Oryza sativa Japonica Group: one gene and its partner. The protein of the gene in region 2 interacts with the protein of the main gene of each other region in a pairwise test. Links are inferred from orthologs where the notes say so. Each region holds a gene or a part of one and is shown on either strand. Other genes may lie near its edges.

What was found.
Region 1: the proteins of aP2-like ethylene-responsive transcription factor SMOS1 (region 2) and histone deacetylase complex subunit SAP18 interact in binary tests that used the Arabidopsis thaliana proteins (3 or more experiments, as listed by UniProt). The link is inferred for Oryza sativa Japonica Group from reciprocal best matches to the Arabidopsis thaliana genes AT2G41710 and SAP18.

What each region holds. Positions count from the first base shown.
Region 1 is NC_089036.1:1,162,350-1,174,067, forward strand, and holds histone deacetylase complex subunit SAP18, read right to left. Parts: upstream 5,746-11,718; 5' UTR 5,706-5,745; intron 5,654-5,705; exon of another isoform or gene 5,634-5,653; 5' UTR 5,612-5,633; coding exon 5,498-5,611; intron 5,336-5,497; coding exon 5,303-5,335; intron 4,894-5,302; coding exon 4,783-4,893; intron 4,588-4,782; coding exon 4,492-4,587; intron 3,955-4,491; coding exon 3,883-3,954; intron 3,799-3,882; coding exon 3,766-3,798; 3' UTR 3,528-3,765; downstream 1-3,527. Other genes in the region: pentatricopeptide repeat-containing protein At1g02060, chloroplastic, read left to right, coding at 1-1,103; UTP:RNA uridylyltransferase 1, read left to right, coding at 6,685-7,401, 7,475-7,852, 8,099-8,364, 8,464-8,527, 9,056-9,252, 9,384-9,597; protein DETOXIFICATION 46, chloroplastic, read right to left, coding at 11,218-11,325, 11,516-11,578. UniProt on the Arabidopsis thaliana protein: Links the histone deacetylase complex to transcriptional repressors bound to chromatin. Involved in the tethering of the SIN3 complex to core histone proteins.
Region 2 is NC_089039.1:18,908,922-18,920,840, reverse strand, and holds aP2-like ethylene-responsive transcription factor SMOS1, read right to left. Parts: upstream 7,318-11,919; 5' UTR 7,140-7,317; coding exon 6,856-7,139; intron 6,183-6,855; coding exon 6,100-6,182; intron 5,890-6,099; coding exon 5,881-5,889; intron 5,798-5,880; coding exon 5,709-5,797; intron 5,059-5,708; coding exon 4,985-5,058; intron 4,910-4,984; coding exon 4,859-4,909; intron 3,658-4,858; coding exon 3,590-3,657; intron 3,478-3,589; coding exon 2,909-3,477; intron 2,811-2,908; coding exon 2,760-2,810; 3' UTR 2,714-2,759; intron 1,991-2,713; 3' UTR 1,695-1,990; downstream 1-1,694.

The DNA of each region.
Region 1 (11,718 bases), on a different chromosome or scaffold from region 2:
CGTTTAGGCCGGACACTTGCACATTCAACACTCTGGTGGCCGTGCATTGTAGGGAAGGCCGGATCGAGGATGCTATGAAGGTGTTTAATCAGATGGTGGAGCTCCGTGTGAGACGTGATTCTGCAAGCTATAGCATGGTCATCCGGGTGTTGTGTGAGAATGGGGAATTTGGGCAGGCTGAGGAGCTTGTGGATGAGCTCTTGGAGAAGGAGGTGCTCAAGAAGAGAGGGGGTTGCACGCCGCTCATTGCAGCGTACAACCCGGTTTTTGTGTACTTGTGTGAGCATGGGAAGACAAAGAAGGCAAGGATGCTGTTTGGGCAGCTGCTGGACCGGAGGAGCAAGGTCGATGTTCCTGCATTCAAGACATTGATCCTTGGGCATTGCAGAGAGGGTGATTTCGAAGAAGGGTATGCATTGCTGCTCTCAATGTTGAAGCGGGATCTTGTCCCTGATGATGAATGCTACATTGCCGTGATTGAAGGGTTTTCACAGAGGGGAAGGATGAAGTTTGCATGGGAAGCCTTGCACAGGATGTTGAATAGCGGTCTTCGGCCAAGCACAAGTACTTTTCACTCGGTTCTTTTGGGGCTTTTGAACAAAGATGGTTGTGCAAAAGAAGCAGCTGATTTGATTGAGATAATGCTAGAGAGGAAGATTCGCCAAAATGTTGATCTTTCGACAAATTTGGTAGATACATTGTTCAGGAACAACCTAAATGACCGTGCTTACAAGATTGTTACATCTCTATATGACCATGGCTATTACATCAAGATGGAAAAGTTAATCGCAAACCTTTGCGAGGAAAAGAAGTTCATAGAAGCTGCAGATTTTACTTTGTTTAGCTTGGAGAAGTCTCAGAATTTTGGTGTAGCCATTCCAAGCATGGTTCTGGATGGTCTTTGCATGACTGGTAGAGCTTCAGAAGCATTCCGGCTGTTCTATGAACTCATTGAGAACAGAAGTGCTTTGGCTTCTGTCGCTGCACCTCGTAGTTTAGTTGCACTTCATCATGCACTGGAGGAATCCGGGAAAATGAAGGAAGCTGATTTTATTGCTAGACAGATGAGACGTGCAAGTGCCAGAATAAGGGAAAGAATCTAGTGGGTTGCTTTGTCCCAAGGAGCATTTCAATCGCATGCCCTTTGCTTCTCCAAACAGGATGGACTAATAAGTGTGAACTTAAAAGAACGAACAGGATGCAGAAACTGTGCCTGATCCACTGCCCCATAAGAAATGGATCAACCAACTGTATGATGTTAGAATGCAGATTAATTCAGCAGATATCCTTTTTTTTTTCAGGGAAACTATGGCGGGTGGATTAGCACCGGCCTGAACATTTATTGATAAATAAAGAGATAGTTACAAATAAAGATAATTTACATGGAGGAAGGAGAAGTTGCTTGAGAATTCAGAAAATACAGAGGGGGGAGGATGGAGTTTAAGAAATTCCTATGTCACTAAGATTGTTCATCCAGGTGTTCAGAGCGGGGCGTAGATGCTCCGGGCAGCGGTGTACCCATAATTCAGCAGATATCCTTAAAATATTGGTCCAATCAGGACTTTGTATAGCCAAACAATCAAGCCAACTTTCTCTGTCACTATAGTATCACCGATCTGGATCATTTCTTCTCAAGGATTGATATCTTTGGGAGGAAATGAAGTGTGGGAAGACCAGATCACAAGAGTACTCTGCTCCTGGACTTTGAAGGGCAGTAGTTGCGGGAGACCAAAGAATCCGGCTGAAAGAAACATATTGTGAAAATGTACTGCTTTCCCCCCCCCCCCCCCCCCCCTAAATGCATGAGGCAGAGCTCCTTGCCCTTTGTGCTCAAAAAAAAAAAGGAAAAGAAGAAAAGTGGGGAATTTAACTATTTGCCACTTTTACATTTGACAATTAACCAAATACCCTTCTTAAGATTGTACTTAAGAATTTGCCATTAGAGAGAGAAGCTTTTGTAACTTTTTGCCACTTTTTGCCCTGTGGAGTGCCACATGTGCATGCCAACATGGACCAACGTGAAAAATGACCAACCTACCCCTTCTAGCTAGTGGTTAGTTTCTCAGTTGCTAAGCCTGTCCGCATTGAATCTTAGTCATAATTCATTCACTGGAAAGATACCAAGAGAAACCAGCAACCTGCCCAATCTTCCCATTTTACACTTTTAAATTTATAAGGCAACAACATCAATGGCACCATTCATGTTACAGTCAGTTCATTAACTTTTTGAGGCTGCATTCGGATGTCTTTTTTCTAACTTCTACTCACAGTTATTAGGACTGACCAGACCGGCGGTTGGACTGGAAAAAACCGGAACCAGGGCCTCCGCCGGTCTGAGTTCTACTCCCTCATTTTTTTCGCACGTTTCTTTAATAACTTTTTAAATAAAATTAAGTTACTTTAAAAATATATATTAATCTATTCTTTATTTATTAAAACTCAAACTAAATTAGTCATGCGCTAATTCTTTGCTCAGTTTTACGTGAAGAGAGAAATATTTCCAAACCATGCTATCGCACACCTTAATTGAGCTCACTCCAGGTGGCACCATCCCAACAATACCAGCCAAATTGGAATACCGTTTAGCAGCTTGAAAAACGTACACGTGAAAAACGAGAGAGATGAGTTATGAAAGTGAACAAAAGAACTCAATCTAAGTATCGTTTTGAAAGTTTGTTATAACCATCTCAGTGGATCTATTACTTCAAATATTGATTTGTTAACTGATGTGGAGGTACTCGGTCTTTAATATAGTACCTCATAAAAGTGAACAGCATCCATACCGATGCAACTGATTCGCGAAAGCAATTTGTCCAAATATTATTCCTGACTCAGCTTATATTACAGACATTACTAACAAGGGTAGATTAGTCATTTCGTGTGCCTGGTCCATGCTGGCATGTATATGTGGCACTGAACAGTGCAGAAAGTGGCAAAAAATTACAAAAGCTTCTCTCTCCAGTGGCAAATTCTTAAGTGCAAATCTAAGAAGGGTATTTGGTTAATTGCCAAACCTAAAAGTGGCAAATAGTTAAATTTCCCAAAAGTGTGAGGCAATTTCTATATCAAGCATTATTATTTTGGAAGACAGGTTGGCTAACTTACCATCAGTCTGCCTATTTCTTTACAGAGGAGTGACCTTAGCTCGACTAGCAAATATTCCTAATACTTTACAGAGGAGTTTCCTTGCCAGTTGCCACAAGATGTATTGGTTGATGTGTCTGAACGTAAAGAATCATACTACAAAATTCCAATTTCACATTGTCGTTCTCCTGTTTTGATGCTGTTTGTGAGTTGTGATAGCCGTGACTCAGTTTATGTGCATGCATTCAGATACTTTGGGGGCTCACCACAGAACTACACAGTATCCTGCCAACTCAGTTGGAAATTGAAACACTGAAATGTGAGAAGTAGGAGATGATCATAAGAACATTATGTTCCTTCACCCAGTTATTTAGCACAGAACACATTTAATCCTACTCGGCGCAGAGAATCAATGGAAAACGCGTGATGTTCAGATCTCACAGTTCCAAGGAAACCACGAACAGGTATATAACACGCAATCACATCAAACGTTTTAAGTGTTCAACACACTCGAAATACTGAGTGAATTCCAAGGTTACTACCATAACAAACAGTTCTGGTATCACGTCTCTAGTACTACAGAGATATTCACCACCACAGGAAAGCTGGGTACCGCCACAGGAAAGCTGGATTCAGCATGGTAGGCAGGGAGAAACACACTATTTCGTGAAGCAGTGTCACTCAATAGATTGCAACACTCAAGTAATCCCCTATCTGTGAAAGAACATAGCAAATAATCAATTGATTTTTGCCTCAGAAGAATACATTGTAATAACATAATACAGCTCTGACAAATACCTGGAATCCTAGCTCTGCAAGAGTTTTAGCATCATCTCCCCTTCCATGGCCATAAGAGAAGGTTGAACCCACCTTCAATCAATATCCAATTATATAAGTTATCACAAATTGAACAGTTACTGGTTTGGAATATAAAGGAACATGGGTTGTACAAGGGAATTTACTGACATATTTAGTGGTTTAATGGCACAGATAGAACTTGTAACAAGCTACGTTTTAGTACAGAGACAATTATCACGATGTGACTGAAGTGGCTACTGGTAAGTGGTAACTACATGGGGCCTAGTGGTGTACCAATGACATGTGTTAGGTATGCATACCTGAGTTTGCAGAAAAGAGATTTTGATGTCATTGGAAGCATGTCATGAATATAAGCACACAAAATAGTAACCATAACTAAAACTAATAGCCCATGTATAGTGACCAAACTAATAGCCAACGTATAGTGACAGTCAAAGCAAAATCCAACTCATTCACGATAATAACACTCATTCCCTATTCAGATTAAGACCAACGTGCTCTGCATTTTTTCCATGTTTGTGTATCAGAGGAAGAAAAACAGGATGAGCAGAAGAATAGTCACAATGGTCAATGGGGATAAACTCTCACCTCTTTGACAACGAAACGACCATGCTTATCAGGGTACACGAAAGCAAAAGAAAGCCTTGCATTTCTTTTTCTTGCTGCAAGAGCAACCTCTTTCACCTGAAACATAACCAAAACTGTGCTGATCAGATCTCCATCTAAAAACAACATTTAGTCAAACGTAGTGCCAAACCCCACTTATCATCATCAGACTAGTCAAATTTTGTTGATTTCTAGTTTGTTAAGTAGTATAAAACTAGGTAAAATTTCATTTTCCCCAAAGAGGACAAGAAAGCACAATATTAGAAAAATTACAAGATCAGTGAGCTCTCGGAGTGTGGCATCCTTCCACGTGTATATCTGCACTTCATCTTTCGGCTCCTTTCCTCTCACGGCAAACTCTTCATTTTGGTGATGGCCACCAACCTGAAAATAAATGACCAGTACCACAATCAGCTTTCTGTGTCGCTGAGTGTTTACTCAAGAATCTGAAGTCTGTCCTAAATGAATGGCTTGGGATTTAATTTTCAACAACACTACCATGAGTTACTTGATCGAGTTATACTGCATAGAAGTGTGACTCAACTACAAGTGCGATATGAACATTACAATTCCATCAAGGCACCAGAACCTATGATTCGGTAAGATTGCACAATGCAAATAACTAGCGCAATAAAGTTTCTGACTATTTATTTAACTTGTATTCAAATGAACATATGCTCTCCTCAGTCAACCACACTAAACAGAAGTGTAAATCACATAATGTGAACTTATCATACATACAGGAATACAAATGAACGAAGTTAGCAGTAAGAGAGATAACAAGAGGTTTTACCTTTGTGAAAACCCGGAGCAGGAGAGGGCACGTCTGCAAAAGAACCCGATAGTGAACAGTAAGTAAACAAATCAATCAACATGGTTAACCTAGCAGAATCGAACTGGAACACAATGCCGTCGAATCGCAAGGTAGTACGCAATCTACTGCTGTTCCAGCGCATCGATTGGGAGGGGGGCACGGAGGAGGCCTCACCTTCTCGCGATCGACGGGTTCGACGCGCGCGCGAGCCATGGGAGGAGGCCCCCGGTACTGCATCGGCGGCCCTGGCCGCACAGGCCTCATCGGCATCTCGCCCCTTCCCGCCATCGCAACGAGACCTCCCCCTGCCCTGCCCGAGGAAGAAGAAAGCTAGTACGAATCAATCTACTGCTCCGGAATCACCAATCAGCAAGCGACTGACCTTGCTCACCTGCTCCGCCGCCGCCGCCGCCGATCACTTCAGAAGGGGATGCGAGAGAAGCAAAGAAAACCCTAGTAAACTTTTTGTAGATTGCACCCTGGGTTCAAATGAAAATACAATTTTACAATTCAGTCCACCTCTAAAAAAGGGACATTTAACTCCATGCCACTTTTAAGATGTAGCAATTAATTATTAGTTATTCATTGTCTACGATACGTGGGTCTAATGGCAAATAATTTAGCACCACTAGTAAGAGAGTAAGGGCCCGTTTAGTTCTCAAAAAGTTTTTCCCAAAAACATCACATCGAATCTTTGCACACATGCATGGAGTATTAAATATAAATAAAAAGAAAAACTAATTGCACAGTTATGGGAGAAATAGGGAGACGAATCTTTTGAGCCTAATTAGTCCGTGATTAGCCATAAGTGCTACGGTAACCCACATGTGCTAATGACGGCTTAATTAGACTCAAAAGATTCGTCTCACGGTTTCCCGGCGAGTTCTGAAATTAGTTATTTCATTCGTGTCCGAAAACCCCTTCCGACATCCGGTCAAACGTCCGATGTGACACCCAAAAATTTTCTTTTCCCCAACTAAACACACCCTAACAAAATAGTTAACTATTACTACCTCCTTCCCTAAATGTTTGATGCCATTGACTTCTTTTAAACATGTTTGACCGTTTGTCTTATTCAAAACTTTTGTAAAATATGTAAAACTATATGTATACATAAAAATATATTTAACAATGAATGTAGGAAAAGAATTAATAATTGCTTAAATTTTTTTAATAAAATAAACGGTCAACCATGTTTAAAAAAGTCAACGGGTTAAACATTTAGAGATGGATGGAGTACCTTAAAAAAAAGCGTTGACTTGTTGACCACTTCGTTGAAAAAGCCAAAAAGGAATCCGCCTTCTTCTCCACTCCACTTCACTCACGCCTTCCTCGCCCCGCGTCGCGAACCACCGCGCGCCATGGTCGGCGGCGAGCCCTTGCGGCGGCGGCGGCATCTCGCCGACGATGGATTCTTCCGGTTCCTCCTCCCCTCGCCGAAGCCGGCCACCACCACCACCACCACCCCTCCTCCCGCCGCGCTGTTCGTCCCGCCCCACCGCCTCATCGCGCCACCCGTGCCGCTCCCCCAGCCACCCCGCCCCGAGGAGCGCCTCTTCATCGTGCCCCCCACGCGCCCTTCCTGGCTCCCGCCTCTCTCGATACCTCCGCCGGCGACGGCGACGGCCCCGCCGCCGACTCGTTGCCCTCCGCGGCGGATGGGCAATGGTGGTGGTGGTTGCTTTGGCGGCCGGAGTGGGGTGGTGGGGTGGAGGTATGGAGGTTTCGTCGGGAATGGTGGACGTCGTGGCTTCGAGCGGCGGAGGGTGGGAGGAGGCTTCATCGGAGCAGCGAATGCAGGCGAGGCCACCGGCGGCGAGAGGCGGGCGGTGGTGCGTAAGAGGGAGAAGAAGGTGTGGGTCGCCGTGGAGAAGAAGGGCGAGGACTGCGGCGGCGGGGATGAGGACCAGGCGGCGATGGGCGCGGGCTATGCCGGTGGAGATGAGAGGGACGAGCAGGTGGACGTCGACGACGACGAACAAGACGACGGCGACGGCGATGACCCTTTCGACGTCGCCGCCGATCACGACCTCCTCGCCGTCGTCGCCGATGGCGCCGGCAGCGAGAAACCAATGGAGGTAGAGGAAAACTCGACCGAGACTTCACCGACGCTTCATGCTATGAAACTCTTCACCTTGCTCTCCCTTTCAGCAGCTCGGATCGCCGCCGGATCAACCGCCGCCGCCGCCGCCGCGCCAGCGAGTCGGAACGCGGCGGTGGAGGGTGGAACGCCGCCATGACATCGACGCCTTCACGCCCGGATTGCTCTCCCTCTACGAATCCCTCAATCCATCAGAGGAGCACAAGGCCAAGCAGAGGCAGCTCATCGAATCCCTCACGAATTCTGTGAGCAAAGAGTGGCCCAACGCCCAGCTGCATCTCTATGGATCGTGTGCTAATTCCTTCGGAAATTCGCATAGCGATGTAGATGTTTGTCTCCAAATTGACACTGCTGCAGAAGAGAACATTGCTGAGCTTCTTCTCGCATTAGCAGAGACATTGCGCAAGGATGATTTCGACAATGTTGAGGTAATTAATTAATTCTTCTCCAGATATATGCAATTTTGCAAGCAAGCATCTCTTCCAAATTTGAATGATTCATCATTACTTGAAAAATTTAATATTAGCTGCATAATTAATCTGGAACTGGAATGTGAAGAGCTAGTTGCCTCATGTAATTCTTCATAAATGCCCCGGTGGAAAAAAAATTAGGCCCGGGAAAAAATAATTCTTCATAATTGATGTATTTGAAAAATAGCTTCTTAATTGACGCAGGTTGAGACTGTTCATCTTCTAATGCCTGTCAAATTCATGCAGGCTATTACCAGTGCTCGAGTTCCAATTGTGAAGATTGCAGATCCAGGAAGTGGCTTGTCATGTGATATCTGTGTCAACAATCTCTTTGCTGTTGCTAACACAAAGCTTCTCAAGGATTATGCCCAGATAGATGAGAGGTTGCTTCAGCTGGCCTTCATTGTAAAGCACTGGGCCAAACTAAGGGGCGTTAATGAAACATATCGTGGAACCCTTTCGAGCTATGCGTGAGTTAAACGACTTTGCGTTCATGATTTTCCCCTTTTTACAGCTATATGTTATTTGTTGAAAATCTTGAACCTGATCTTGTTCTTATTAATTTGCAGATATGTGCTTATGTGCATTAGCTTCTTGCAGCAAAGAGAGCCCAAGATTCTACCATGTTTGCAGGTTCTATACCTTACTTTTTATCTCACCAATATGTTTCATTCATATGAACTACTCGCTGAAGTACTGATACTTTGGATGCACACAGTTTAGGATAAAATCACTTCACGCTTGCTTCATCTGCATTTAGACTCATGATGCTGATACAGGTTAAACGAATGGTCTGCACACATTTTTATTTTCATTTTCATTTTTTTATCTCTAAAATACTTAACTTCTATCTCTTTTATTTGCTGGTGGAATCGTCCTGATTTCGCATTCTCCCTTCATATATGCATGATTCTGTTTTGGATGGCTCGACATTCAACTATGGTTGGTCAATTTTCTTTCCTTTCTTTTCTTTTTTTTTTCACTAATGTAGCAGGTCCATTTTTTATTCTCTTTGATTGATGTTACTAAGAGTTGCTTGCGTCTAGAATTGTTCAGATGAAATCAGGATCTGCAAAGTTGTATATTTCAGCTTCATCTATGAATTACTTCCGTCAGTTTTATCCTGATGCAATTTGTCCTCTCAACTCACTCCAATTGTAGGCGATGGAGCCAACATATACTGTGGTTGTCGATGGCACTGAATGTGCATACTTCGACCAAGTTGACCAGCTTAAAGATTTTGGTGCTGAAAACAAGGAGAGCATCGCCGAGTTACTGTGGGCATTCTTCCACTACTGGGCATTCCATCACGATTACAGGAACGATGTCATCTCCGTCCGCATGGGGAACACAATCAGGTGAGAATTGCCAACGAGCGTTTCTCAAAAACCGACTAAACTTCAAAAATTCGATTTTGAACTAATGTCACATATGCTTCAAAGAATTTCGCGTCCTTTTTAACTTGGTTCGATCTCTGGTCGATCGATAGCAAGCAGGAGAAGAACTGGACGACTCGCGTTGGAAACGATCGCCATCTGATATGCATCGAGGATCCTTTCGAGACCAGCCATGACCTCGGTCGTGTTGTCGACAGGCAGACAATCAGGGTTCTCAGGGAGGAGTTTGAGCGAGCTGCCACCATTCTGCAGTACGACGATGACCCTTGTGTGGCTCTTTTTGAGCCCTATGATTATGAATCTTGATTATTATTATTAGCACATAAATTAATAACTAGCCTGGAAAATCCAGAAAACAGTAGCTATCCTAATTCTAGGTAGTAGTGAAGATCCAGTAGCATGCTTAAAACACTTGGTGAACAGAAGAACAACAGCAGGTTGCATTCAAGTATGTCAAATTTGATAGAAAGTTGGATCTTAAAATCAAAAGTACTATGCCAACCCAAATTTTTCGGAATGCTTCCCAAGACCTGTGAGGCGTTTCACACATTCTAAGAAAGTTGGATCTTAGAATTCCTTTGTTTTTACTTACAGGGCAATCCTGAAGACCACAAAGACAAAATAGGGCTTTACTTTTGAAGTGGTGCATGCATAACTGAAGAGTAAAACAATCTTATGCTACAAAAACCAAAACAATATAAAATTCATCACCACGCATTTAGATGGAAAAATGTTTGTGTAATATATGAAGGGGGTGGCTGGAAATTAACTGAGGCCCGGAAGAAGAGGAGCGATTTGCTCCCAATGAGAGGCCGGGAAACCTAGACCAGGCCAGGCCTTTTAAAGCCCACAAGGCCTCTACTTTCTCTTCCAGAGTAGATGGGCCTCATTTCGACCCAGCCCAAGATGAAGCAGAGTCTTTCTCTTCCCTTTCTTTTAAGAGCAAAAGCAGTGCATCTTATCTTAAATCTAAAATTTGCCACAACATGCTAAGCTAAATTTTACACACGCCCTAGTTTTTTTTTTTGCGGTTATTTGATTGGTGCCACAGTTTTAGCTAGCCACATTACTTAAATGTAAAATTTGATGATTTGACACTTTATTTCTTGTCACTTTAATTTTTAAAATTGATACTTTTTAGGATGACGTATGGGACCATGTAAGTCAATGAAAATGAATGTTAAGTAATCGAAAGCCAGCTGAGTGAAATATCAAATTATCACATCTCTTAGAACACATGGCTCCGCATGTCAAAAACTCGATTTCTTGTATATAAGAATGCATAAAGGTATGGCCAAGGTGAGTTGCACTGAAGCTGTGAATTAGTGACCCGAAGAAACAACAGCTGCATTATGTGGCGTGCACCTCAATAATATTCATTTTGTGACGCAGAGCTAGTATAAGATATTGACATCTTTTCGCGGAGAAAGATGTGGAAATTTTTGTTCTTATCTATTTTTGCTTTCTTCTGCGTATGCTCAATTAACTGCTCTTTGACAGCCTTCGTGTTTGACAGTGGAAAACATTTCCTTACCGTAGCAATAATGTTGCTTGCAGGTATAATTCCTAGGACAAAACTATATACTACTACCTCCGTCCCAAAATATAACAATTTTTAGCTATGAATCTGGACACACAGTTGTCTATATTTATAGTTAAAAATGCTTATATTTTGGGACGGAGGGAGTATATCATGACAGGAGAACGAATTCTACCCTACAACTTACTGATTTTTCCTGGTCTAATCTTCTGGGCCATCATGTCTTGAATTCCGTTCCAAAGATCATACTATGAACTAAGTGCAGCTTCTGTATGAGAGCTGAGGTGCCACTGATCAGCAGAGATTGCAGAATGATCTTTCTGGGCTTATGCAACTCTTTTCATCTTTGTTGTCACCTCAGGAAAACCTATAATTCATACTACTTCTTATGTGGCCTTCACCTTGACATACTCATCATGATGGTTATTGAAGTTTTCGTTATATAGCATGCCCGTTGGAGAAAGAAGCCGTTGTAAAGCACTTCCAAACCGACCCTGGAAAATGGAAACAGTATTAAAATGTGGCCAGGAAACATTTGGAGTAGCGAGACATTATTATATAGTGAGAAGTAAGATAATGCAAAAAATAAGGCTCGAAACGATAGTCTGTTATCTTTGGTAGGGAACTAAGGATACAAATATGAGAAAAAGAACTTGATATATTGAAATGGTCAGATGGCCTTACCCACTGAAACAAGACAAGTATCCACCAGCATCCAGGCAAACTACCAAATTTGTTGCGAATGATCTGTTAAGAAGAAACGAGATCAGAGAAGTCGATCATTAGGATGTGACTATTGTTATTTGAACAACAAAGAAGATTAAAGGATTTTCAAATTTTGGACTTAAGTTCTTTTAGTTGCTAGACAGCCATCACAGAGCTTTATG
Region 2 (11,919 bases):
AGAAGGCCCAGCGCTGCTGCGCCAGCGCGAGCGTCTCCTCTACTTTTTTTTTCTTTTTTTTTCTGTTTTTTTTCCCTTTTTCCACTTTTTTTTTATCTTTAGCATGTTTTGAGTTTGAAAGTTTTTAATTTTTGAGTTAAAAATTTTCAAATCTGAACTTGAAAGTTTTCGAATCTCGAGTTGAAAGTTTTCAAATCTCAAATTGAAAGTTTTCAAAATTTTCAAATCTAAATTTGAAAGTTTTCGAATCTCGATTCTCGAGTTGAAAGTTTTCAAATCTCAAGCTGAAAGTTTTCAAATCTGAGTTAAAAGTTTTTAAAATTTGACTTTAAAATTTAAAACTTAAATCGAAAGTTTACAAATCTAACTTAAAAAATTTTCAATCTGTTAGTAAAAAAATCTCCAGAATTTTTCCTAATTACTATTATTAGTGTGAAGTATATTAAATAATATAGTTAGTTAGGACTAAAGGGGGAGGGGGAGTTCTCGCTGCTGGCGCGCATGCGCCAGCTAGTAGTCCCCCGCTACGAAGGTGGATATACGAGTACCTATGCATCATTTTTATGATTATATCACATAGATTTTTAATCTTTAGGTTAAAATTCAATAGATACAATAAAAGGCAAAAATCAACTAAGAAACACCACAATGGATACTAAATTACTATATCTTTAAGAAAAAGACCAAATCCAATATAAATTTCAAAACTTACAAGTGAAGATTCAAAAATTACACTGTAACTTATAAAAGTTACAATGTATGTTTCATAAATTACAAGAAAATACACTGTAAATTTAAATGAGAAAATTAAGTGAGAGATAAGAAAAAAAAACTTTCGAGTGAGATATAGCAAAATTGATCGAAGAAAGGGCACATATATGAGAAGCAAAAGGCTAGCGTGGATCTATGCATGAGGAGCACCCGGAGAGTGGATTGACAATCGCGCTCTATGGGTGGATTATCCAGTGACCCGACTACCCGAGTCCAAAATCTATACCGGTAAATCGATGGTATAACATCATGTGACTATCTACATAGGTTCTGAGTACGTACTATAAGCAAGCAAAAGAAAAGGTAATAAATAAAATTTCAAAATACTTCGCACCTACATTATAAATATGGCCTCCAACATTTGAACAATATTGATGGTGTACATTAATTTCACAAGCATGCCTACTAGTTCCTGCTAAAGGACAACCATGTGTCTATAAATATGGCTTCCAACATTTGAACAATATTGATGGAGTCATGCGCCATATATGAGTCCTATGGTTGTAGTGTCATACTAAGACCTTTTTAATGTATATATTTTTTTAACCATTCTTGTAGCTGAATGATTTGGCATTGTTTTCATTACGAATATTTTGGTGCCGTCTCTGACAAAGGTGGTGTTTGAATCTCCTGAAGATTTTTATGAAGATAAAGATTAAGTATTTCACGCAAAACGAGGTGATAATAACGTGTGATTAATTGAGTTTTGATTATTACCAACTTGAGAAATGGATTAATCTGGTATTTTACAGCAACTTTCATATAGAAAGTTTTCGGACGAAATACACCGTTTAATAGTTTGAAAACCGGCCACGAGTATCCAGAATTTCATCCAACTCTTATCAGATAAACGAACGCAGCCAAAGCATAAAGAAAATATCATTCGAATTGTACAACTCAAACAACAAGCATTGGACATATTTGCTCAAAATAAACAATTAAGCTTTGAAAAATTCGTGTTCTTCTGTTCTCTTCATTCTATAGAACCAACCAAGTAGCTGAAATAAGAACCGCGATATGTACAGACAGCTCTATAACTAAATATCATTAACGGGGCACTAGGCCACTAGGCACTGTATATATTACATAACTATGGTTGTACTTCTCTTACCTTCTATTCATGGCTTATGAACTATGGATACAAAGGGTATTTGTTCACGGGTCACCTCAAAAGCTAGGAAGAAGGAAACCCATAGACGTGCAGGATGTTATCACCCACCTGAAATATGCAAAAGGTTTCAGTTAAGCAGAAAAGAGGAATGCAAACATGTCCTATAACTACCGTGCTGTTTTTCATAAAATTAACAATTAGTTCGTTCAAAAGGAATAAAACTAACAATTTTACAAAAGGATGTGCCAGTAAAATCACTGTGACTGCGAGTGCAAAGCATATGCAAAGTGGATCTTCCTGGGTAGCTATAGTAAATTAAGAATTTGACACCCACATGTCAGTGTTACTGATATTTTAACGGAGGGAAAGCTGAAAGCACTGTCCACGCGTGGGCACACGCACATAAACAATGTTGATTTATCATGTCTCAAATACTCGATGCACCACTTACACAACATAATCCCATATTTTCATCATTATAAAAATATTTATGCACACATAAATATCTCACAACAGTATTTTTGTTTGGTTTAATTGATTAGATTTAAACTGTCTCAGTTCATTTTCATTGTGTTCTTTCAACGGAGTGTCATATTGTCAGGTATATTCTTTTCTTTTCAAGACTGGCACCTGTCAATCAAGGGAAAATAAATCCTTAGATATTTGTAAGTTAGACATAAACATATTTCCATTGCTTGCATGTTCTTATTTGAATGCAAATCTGGACATCTCGTGATGCATTGAGTTCTTCAAGCAGATAATTTAGGCGATACACAGAAAGAAAATATATGAAAAAATGTAAAATTTACTATGCCTACAGTCTCTACTTACCAAGCCAAAAAGCAAATCCTGCATGCACTTTGGTAAGCTCGTACGGTCACTCTTGACCATGGAATGGATCACTTGAACTCACCTCATTCTTTGCAAACTGTCACAAATCAGCATCAAATTAAGCACAAGAAGAAAAATTGAAAATATGTTACAGATTTAATTCAAATTGTCAAGTAGAGCCAAAGAGGAACAAACCGTTGTTGTTGCTATTGTTGCCATCGTGACAGGTTGACTTGCTGGCAGGATGAAGTTGGTCCAGAAAAGAGGGTCCGCAGAAGGATCAGCAGGGTTCCAGGTATTTTTCATTTGTGCAGTAACAGAGGGCAATGTGTATGGAGCTCTTTGCACAAGCAACCCATTCACGTTCATGTTAACTGCAGTTGTGTCATGTCCAGTTGCAGGTACTGGGGTAACTGTCTTTCCTTCATCCATTTCTTTGCTAAAAGTACATTCTTCAGATAGTTTTGTAGATTTTTCTGAGAAGCTTTTGAAGGCATCAGACTGAGATAAGATATCACATGCTGATAGGACCACGGAAGAGGGCTTTGAGTTAGAATGGAGGCCAAGGGAAGGAAACTTATAAGGCTCAGTCCGTTGCATTGAACTTTCAATAGCACGGATTTCATCAGTAACCTCTTCCATTTTAGATGTATCTGACTGCCGTGTCTTTTTTGGGAGCCACCACCTTATGTAATTTGTCAGATCAATTTTCCTCTCTAAGCCAAAGGTTCCTGCAAATTTCCCATCCAGCGTGATGTCCTTCCCTGTAATTTAAATAGAAAGACTGGTTACAAAACCACATAGAATTTGTCTTTCTCCTCTGTAGTTTGTTAACCAGAAACAGCAGTGTAGAAGTTTTTATGGAGACACCACAACCTAGGCTCATGTAGTCATTGCCAAGCAAGTGTCCCAAAGAAGCATCCCATCTGGAATTATGGAGCTGCCTGCATGATAATGTCACAACAGTTGCAGTTATAAAATTTATATCAATGTGACTGTACGTGTCCAGCAGTGTAGTGCACTGTAATGATTAGTCGAAGACTGACATCTGGTGAATAATTAAGTAAAACAGAATTACGTACACCCTCCGTACTCGTAAAGGAAGTCGTTTAGGACAGCGAGATGGTCTTCAAAACACAACTTTGACTTCTTGTTTCTATAAAAATATTTATTGAAAAGTGATATATGTATACTTTTATGAAAGTATTTTTCAAGGCAAATATATTCATATAATTTTTGCATTGTCAAACTCAACAACTTAAGAGTTATTAATGATTTATATTCCCAAGGTTTGACTTAAACATTGTCCTAAACGACTTCCTTTATGAGTATGGAGGGAGTATAGTTTTACTTTATATGTCCAAATAATAAACTTTCCTAAACTAATTTCTAGTGGTCCTCAGGACACTATTAAGTCGGGATCCTATCCTAGAAGGAAATTTCAAGTATGTCGATCTCTTCAAAATCTCAGCTACAAGTAATCACTCTCCTCTGAAAGGATATTCTGTTGAGAATATTATGTTTTGGTTGGTTGAGATCCCACAGAAAGCAGGATAGCTGTAACCATACAAAGAACGAAGGCACTGAATGCCGAATTTCCATTGACAACAGTAATCAGTGAGGAAACACAGAATTTCGATGACGCACATTCAGCATCACAAGTACAGTTGAGGGACTGTGGCTGTGCAATCGAGTGATTATTGGAAAGAATTAATGTTCAGCAAAACTTGAAGGTTTGCATCTTTGCTAAATGACACTTTATTTTAAAATTCTCTAAATGAAGACCAATGACACACGAATAAGAGCTAGTAGTTTAGTATCTAAGCTATCTACCTCCAAAAATCTGCTGAGCTTACTAATTTAATTCATAGCAGAAATACATGAAGTTGCTGAAAATAATTTCTAATGTAATATACCACAGGGCATCATCTTTACATACTACTACTTGGTTTGCCATAAATATTTGTAGCAAGATGGAAAATGTTACCGAAATAAACAAAACATGGACAATGATAGTTTGTGCACAATAGAAAAGAAAATTGGACATGAGACTTGTTACTGAATTAGCATCACAAACATGCATGCAAATATAATAACTGAACATAGAGTTAACTTCCAAATATATTTCTCATTGCTAATAAGTACCTAGGAAGGCCGCGATATTTTGGTAAACCCCTGGAAAAGGCACTGCTCTTTCTGCAGTGCATGTGTCTTACAGTTAGTACTTAAGAAACAAAGTAATATGCACGTATTATAAATTCACAAATATACCTCCGAAGAGACACAAGATAATCCTCCTTGGAGATCATCTGCATTTCCTCAAGATCTCTTGCATAATCAGAGACCTAAATAAGCAAATACATAATGAACATAAGCCTGAAAAAGATTACCACAAATCAAATTAACTAGTGCAAAATATAGAATGGAAAAAACATAGTACAATAATTCATAAGCAACATCGCAATTATTTTCCATCGAGATGTATAGGCATATAGATACCAAACTGAAGAGATGGCATGTATGCATATGTTTGTTTTGCCAATATTCTTCTGAGACAATGATTTTTCAATGTCGCTTATATGCTCAGAGATGAATTTTCTGAAAACAAGAGATTTTTTTTGTCAAGGACACAAACATCCATCTCCGAATCGTCAAGTGTAAACTGAATAAATCCCTAACCTTTGCATACAAAAGAACATAATATAATAGTCAAGAGTATTCAGATTTTTCAAACATCACACAATAGTTGCATAGGATATGTTTGGACTAGTATGATCCAAAGTTTGGTACAACACTCTCTAAGATATCTTTTGGTTTTCAATTTGCATCTTAAGAGAATCAGTCTTCGAAATTGAGCTCAGGTGATGCAAAATATAAATGATTAAATTTAACCAAATGAAGGTCTTGAAGAAAAGGCAGTGTGTGGTTAATAATTGTAGAAGAACTAAATGGAAGCTAAGAAACCAATTATAATTAGCAAGTATAGATGACTCACAGGAAAGTTTATTTGTGTCCCAGCTCCCCAGTATTTCAATGCAGCAAGGTCATAAGCTCTTGCTGCAGCCTCTTCATCATCATATGCACCTGTGTATTTGCGCATTGAATTGATGTGGATAAAGAAGTTTATACAATTGCACATTTTACAGTTAACACCAAAGATTTCTTACCTAAATATACTGCACTTGCAGGGCCATTTTGGGTGATAATTTCCCATGCAAAAGAGACAATTCCATTAAATCAGATTAATTATAGCTAGATATAAAAGGAAATGACGTGCATGGATTATCTATGAAATACAATTAAAATTCACCTAGCTTCCAACGTCCCTTGGTCAACTTTTCAAAACATGTAAAATATAGCTGCTAATTTGCATTGGGTATACAGACCTTGTTTCCCTTTTTTGTTCTGATTCTGATTCCATGTGCTTTTATCCCAGAGGTGAGCTTCATATCGGCCTGTCCACCTATGCCTATAGATGATACAAAACAAGTGTCAAATCAAATTCATACATAATAACAGCTGAAAGTTAAAATCTTGCTTACAAATTACAACAAAATTAAGAAAGAAGTAGCATATGGTGGTACAAGAACAGTTGAATAACAATATAGAACAAATACTACTTTTGGATCAGATTAAACACCAAATAAAAGATTTAAGTATGTAAATACACATATAGTTTGAAAATTCATCTTTTAGTTGAGCCCCACACTTGTCTGGACCGAAAAGGGTCCAAAACTTGCTTCTTACCCAGATTAGAGCTAAACCCTGTCAACCCAGTTTGACACAACTTAAATCAAGCATGATGTTGGATGTACTGGTCAAGTGAAAATCATTCATTAGCTTTTATATTTATTTAGATCAAGCGAAGCTCCTAATTATTTCAGATCGTCCCCTTGGAGACACAACAGGTAATCCGATGAATACAGCTAATCCGTATATAACCAAGTAAACAAAAAGAAAAATCTAGATCCCGAATCGACGGTACCATTTTGAGCATACAAGGAGACCTGACGAACGGATTTAGCGCCACAGATCAATCCAAGCAGAGAACGATTGCATATCCCCTAATAAGCATCCAAGTAAAACTTCTCCGCGACTCGAGACACGGAGGAGGGAGAGGGCAAAGGGGGGAGGAGCCGTACCGGGTGACGCCGCGGTAGATGGAGCTGCGCTTCCCGGCGGCGCAGGGCGGCATGCGGCTGATACGCTCCTTGGCCGTGCACACCCTCTCCTTCCGCGCCGCCACGGGCCTCCTCGGCGGCGGCGCCACCTGCTCCGCCCCCGCCCCCACCCCCTCTCCCCCCGCTCCCACCGCCTCCATCTTCTGCATTCCCCGGCCCCACTCCGCCCCGTCTCCTCCCCCCGCCGCCGCCGCAGCCGCCTCCAGCTTCTGCTGCATCCCCGCGGCGGGGCCGGGGGACGCCATGGCGCGCGCACGCAGCAGCAGCAAACCCCCCCTCCCTCCCCCCACTCGATCGGAGTCGGTGGCGAGGCGAGGCGAGAAGAGAAGAGAGAGCCAAAGCGGGGGTGACCGTTTGGGGGAGGCGGTCGCGGTGAGGAGAGGGGGGGGATTTCAAATGGGGGGGATCGCATCGAGTGCGTGAGGTGGGAGACTGGGAGGGATGGAGACGGATGGGGGGGGTGGATGCGTGGATGGATGGGGGGGTGGAGCCCAGTGGGCCGGCACATGGGGGGACAGGGGGCAGGGGAATCCGAGGAAGCGGGGGGATACGATGGGATTGGGGAGGGGGGGTGGGGCCCACTGGGCTATTGGCCGGGCCGGGGGCGGAAAGGGACACGGCGGATGCGGGATTGTCCTGCCCGCCGTCGTTTCCTCGGAACGGCAACGGTGCGTTTTTTCTTGTCTCGGTGGACTTTTTTTTTTATTTATTTGTTTACACACACAACGCTATAGATTTGGTTTCTTTGGTTCTTTCTTTAGGTTAGGGATATAGGATTTGAGGTCCTATTCCAAGAGCTTGTATAGCAATAGGAGCTACTGCTCTCTTAAACATTTTAATTTTATTTTTTATTAGATAGATTGTGTAGTAATCATAAGATCTAAAAAAATAAACTAGTATATTAGCTAAAAACTAAAAACATAACATAACTTGTTCAAATTCTCACTATATAGATACTCTATATTATTCGTGTAAAAAGAACTCTTGAACTATAAATTAAGTGCTTACTCCCTCCATTTAAAAAAAAACTTAACTTTGGAGGAGATGTGACCCTTATGACAACAAATTTATACTACCATTTATCTAGATTCGTTGTCATAGGAGGGGACCTTCTAGGTTAAGTTTTTTTTAGACGGAGGAAGTATATGATAAGGTTTTGACTCCATCTCTCTTAAAATTGTAGCCCAACCAAATGTTTAAGCAATATCTGAAGGAGATAAAGTGGGCTGAAGTGATATGAAAAATAAATTATAGGGGAAAAATAGGGTTTGGATTGCTCCATACTTTACTCTAGACTTCACTGTTAGAGTTAGATTTAGAAGTTAAAATCATGTCAAACATGTCTAAAAGTATTCACCGCTTCCAACAAAGACATTAGATCACAGACCAAATGGCCTCTATGTGAGGACCGAGAAAGTGACTTTCGGAGACAGATAACCCAGTTTCAATAGAGTTCATCGGCAGTGATGTGTATTAGGGGACATTCTTTTTTTCTCTGAGTGTAGATAAAGTACTATCGCTCGTACTTCCTAATTTAGGATTCATAATTTCGACTAAATTAAAGGGTGTGCATATCAATAAAATAAACTGCGATTGAATTTGACTAATAATATTTCTTATAAAATTATTGTAAACTCCACATGTTAAAAGGAGCCTAAAAGCCATCAACGTAACAATAGGGGGGTAAAGATACTGCTCGCACCGACCGTTGCTTAGTTCAACTGGTGCGACGACCATCATTTATTACCCAGTGTGCAGGCTACAGAGTTATTTTTTTCCGAATCACTTGCTCGCTAGATTATCCGTTAGAGCAAGTTTAATAGTACCGCTATCAACTGACGATAAAAATGTACATGTCATCCGGAGATAGAAAATAAAGATGATATGTATAATAGTAGGCTGCTAATCTACCTACACACTTCTCTAGGTAGTTAACTTTTTCTATTTTTTAATCTAACTTGCTACTCTCTATCCTATCCCGTGTGTTCTGCTAATGGGGCCATAGCTATACTATTGGAGAAAAACAACCACAATATTGAATATGCATAATTTCTTGTGCTATAGCTCGGCGTTTGCAGAAGCGCCCGTTGCCCTCTCCCTCTAGCTTTCTCTCTCCTCCACGAATGAATTTGGATGACGTGGCACTCTTATCGCCCGCTGAGTGTGCCTTATTAGAGCACCCGCAATGGTAAAGTAAGGTGCTATCTATAAAACATGTACATCTCAGCAATAGACTAGATTAATAGTAAACCATCTCAATAGTATGTCTACATGGGGATCTATAGCTCTCTAATACATTGTCTCATTTTTCTCTATAGACTATCTCCAGGTTAGTAGATAGCTTTATTCTCTCTCTTCATTTAATCTCTTCCAAGTAGGAAAATATGCTGATATGAATCTCTTATAGAGAGCTTATAGATAATAATTATGGGTGTCCTTAAACTTGCTCTTAACCATGCATGGTTAACGCTCCCTCATTCCACGGCTTGACATGATTCATGTCAGCACCCCATCAAATATTGAATGCAAGCGAAAAGTTCCGCGCATTTTTTATTAGTTATTAGTACTTGGTTGTCTAAAATTTTTCTAAAATATTTCATTCCTCACGGATCCGCATTGATAATTAATTGATGGATAAGAATTTTTTTAAAATAAAGCACAAAACAGTATGAAATTTCATATTGATATGTTCAGGAAAAAGTAAAAGGCTATAATTAGAAAAAAAAAAAGAAGCCACCCACCACATGCTAGAAGCTTCATCACACCCTCGAAAATCACTAGACCGAACTGACCATCGCTGTGCATGACTGGTCACCGCTATCGCTACATAGGGATCGAACACACCCCCACCTCAAACCAACTCCAACATCCATGACAAACTTCTAGCCTCCCTCACGGAAGGGTTGAGGGTGAGGACGAGAGATAATAAAAGGGCAGCAAAGACGAGGGAACAAGATTCCTAGATGGCGCCTCCACGGAGGTTGTGACACCAAAAGGCACCACCGTCGCATGTCCACCATGGACTCGATTTTCACTAGGAAAGTCTTAACGGGGAAAAGAAGGTGGCAACTCGGTAACGTCCCAAAGGGAGAGCACGATGCCAAGAGGTGTCGTCATTGTCGACCCGAGAACATCGAGCTAGGCTTTCACCCGCAGCACCAACTCCCACCCAACCATCGCCAGCCCAATGCCCCGCCAGACAGACGACCTCCTCCAGCACGCAGGCTCACCGCACCATCACCCCTCTGCTGGCCAACCCCCTTGCGCAGCCCCAGCTGTTACTCCAAACCGCCTTGGATGGCTCTTTGCCATCCTTCATGCGCCACCACACCATGGAGCTTGGGCGTGTGAGAGTTCATCATTGCCTCTCCCCAAGCCGAGGAGCTGCTGTCGCATCCTCACATGCGACCGTCCGCACGCCCACCTCAGCCTCCACGGCCACCTCGCCCCGCCTCCACGACCACATCCCCTTGTCACACCGTCTTCTTTGGTGCGCTGCACTGCACCTCCATTGCCTCTCCTCAACAGCCGCCTCACCCCGCCTCCATGATTGAGCAGGCCGCCTTCTCCGAGCTACAGCGCCTTCTCGCACCACTTCGCCTTTGCCACCGTCCAACTCATCTGAGAGAGGCACAGCCATTGTCTTCACTGCATACTGCCACTCCAGCACACGGCACTGTTCCTCGCCAGCTCCGGCCGAGGAGGGCCTTGACTTGGGTAGCGGTGCCTCCACTTCCTTGGGTCGTCAGCCCCCTCCCCTCCCCCCTACCACCGTTGTCCTCACGACCGGCCAGCTTTGTCGGCGGGCTACTAAGGCGGCAACAAGGAGGGGGGAGGGGGGAGGAGTAGCGGTGGTGTTCCTTTAGTTACTATCCCTGTCGCTTTGGGGTGGGAGCGACACGGAGACCACCCTACCCCCTCTCTAGACAAAATATAAAGCAAATCTAAATATATTTTTTTGCAGGGAGCAAATCTGAATATATAACCAGGATGGATAAGATTTTGATTGGATATACTACATATGCTTAAAACATATTTCTCTTTTACAAACAACGTCTAAGTACTACTACTCCCTCCGGGCTGATAATATTAGTCGTTTTGGACAATGATAAAGTCAAACTTTAAAATATTTGACTATAAATAATTTCTAAAATATTTATCTTAAAAATATGAAAACCATATGTTTAGATTAGTCTTAAAAAGTACTCCAATAAAATCATATATTTGTTGATATTTTTATATATATTATAATAGAAAATAGTCGTCAAAGTTACTTTCTGAAGACCGTGCCTTTGTCTAAAACGACAAGTATTATTAACCGGAGGGAGGATATAGGTTATCGATCAGATTCGTTTCATCATGGGATATAATTAGGAGTATTAATCGTCGTGTTTTCGTACTACAGTGAATGTCCCTGTATATGTATATTTCTGTGTCAATCAGCGCGCGGCCGCCTTCAGTCCACATCATTTCAGATTAGTGGGCCAAATATATATATCCCTTAATCAGTATTAATGCTTCTATACTTGGATGAGAGAAGGCCACATATCAACGTATTTTAGGCATGTTTAATTGAATGCTACTGTGTTAATTATAGTATCTTTTATAAAAAAAATCGTCCAAAACTGTTTCGCGCGTACGTTAGAAAATGCTATACTTTCGAGACCCCTTCTCTCAAATTCGCACATTTTTTAAGCATAACTCAGCGCTATCTTTACTGTTAATTTGTACAGTGTACCATATCCTTAATTGGTGGTACTACTTGCACGCGTATGCACAGCAATTAATTTGGCAAGGTACATGTACTGTACGGGGTGTCATGCACAAATCGTGATTGAATGAGAGGACGTTGTCCCTACTGTCCTGCAGGGAAGGCAGGCCTACGGCATGTTGTCTCGAGGTACACGAGGCGCGCGTTCGGTCTGACCGAATATTTTAGACTCGATCTCCGGTTTTTGGTTATTTTGGTTTTTAAAAGCTAGGACCGAACTTCGTCAAAAAAAAATCAGGACCGATAAATTCGGT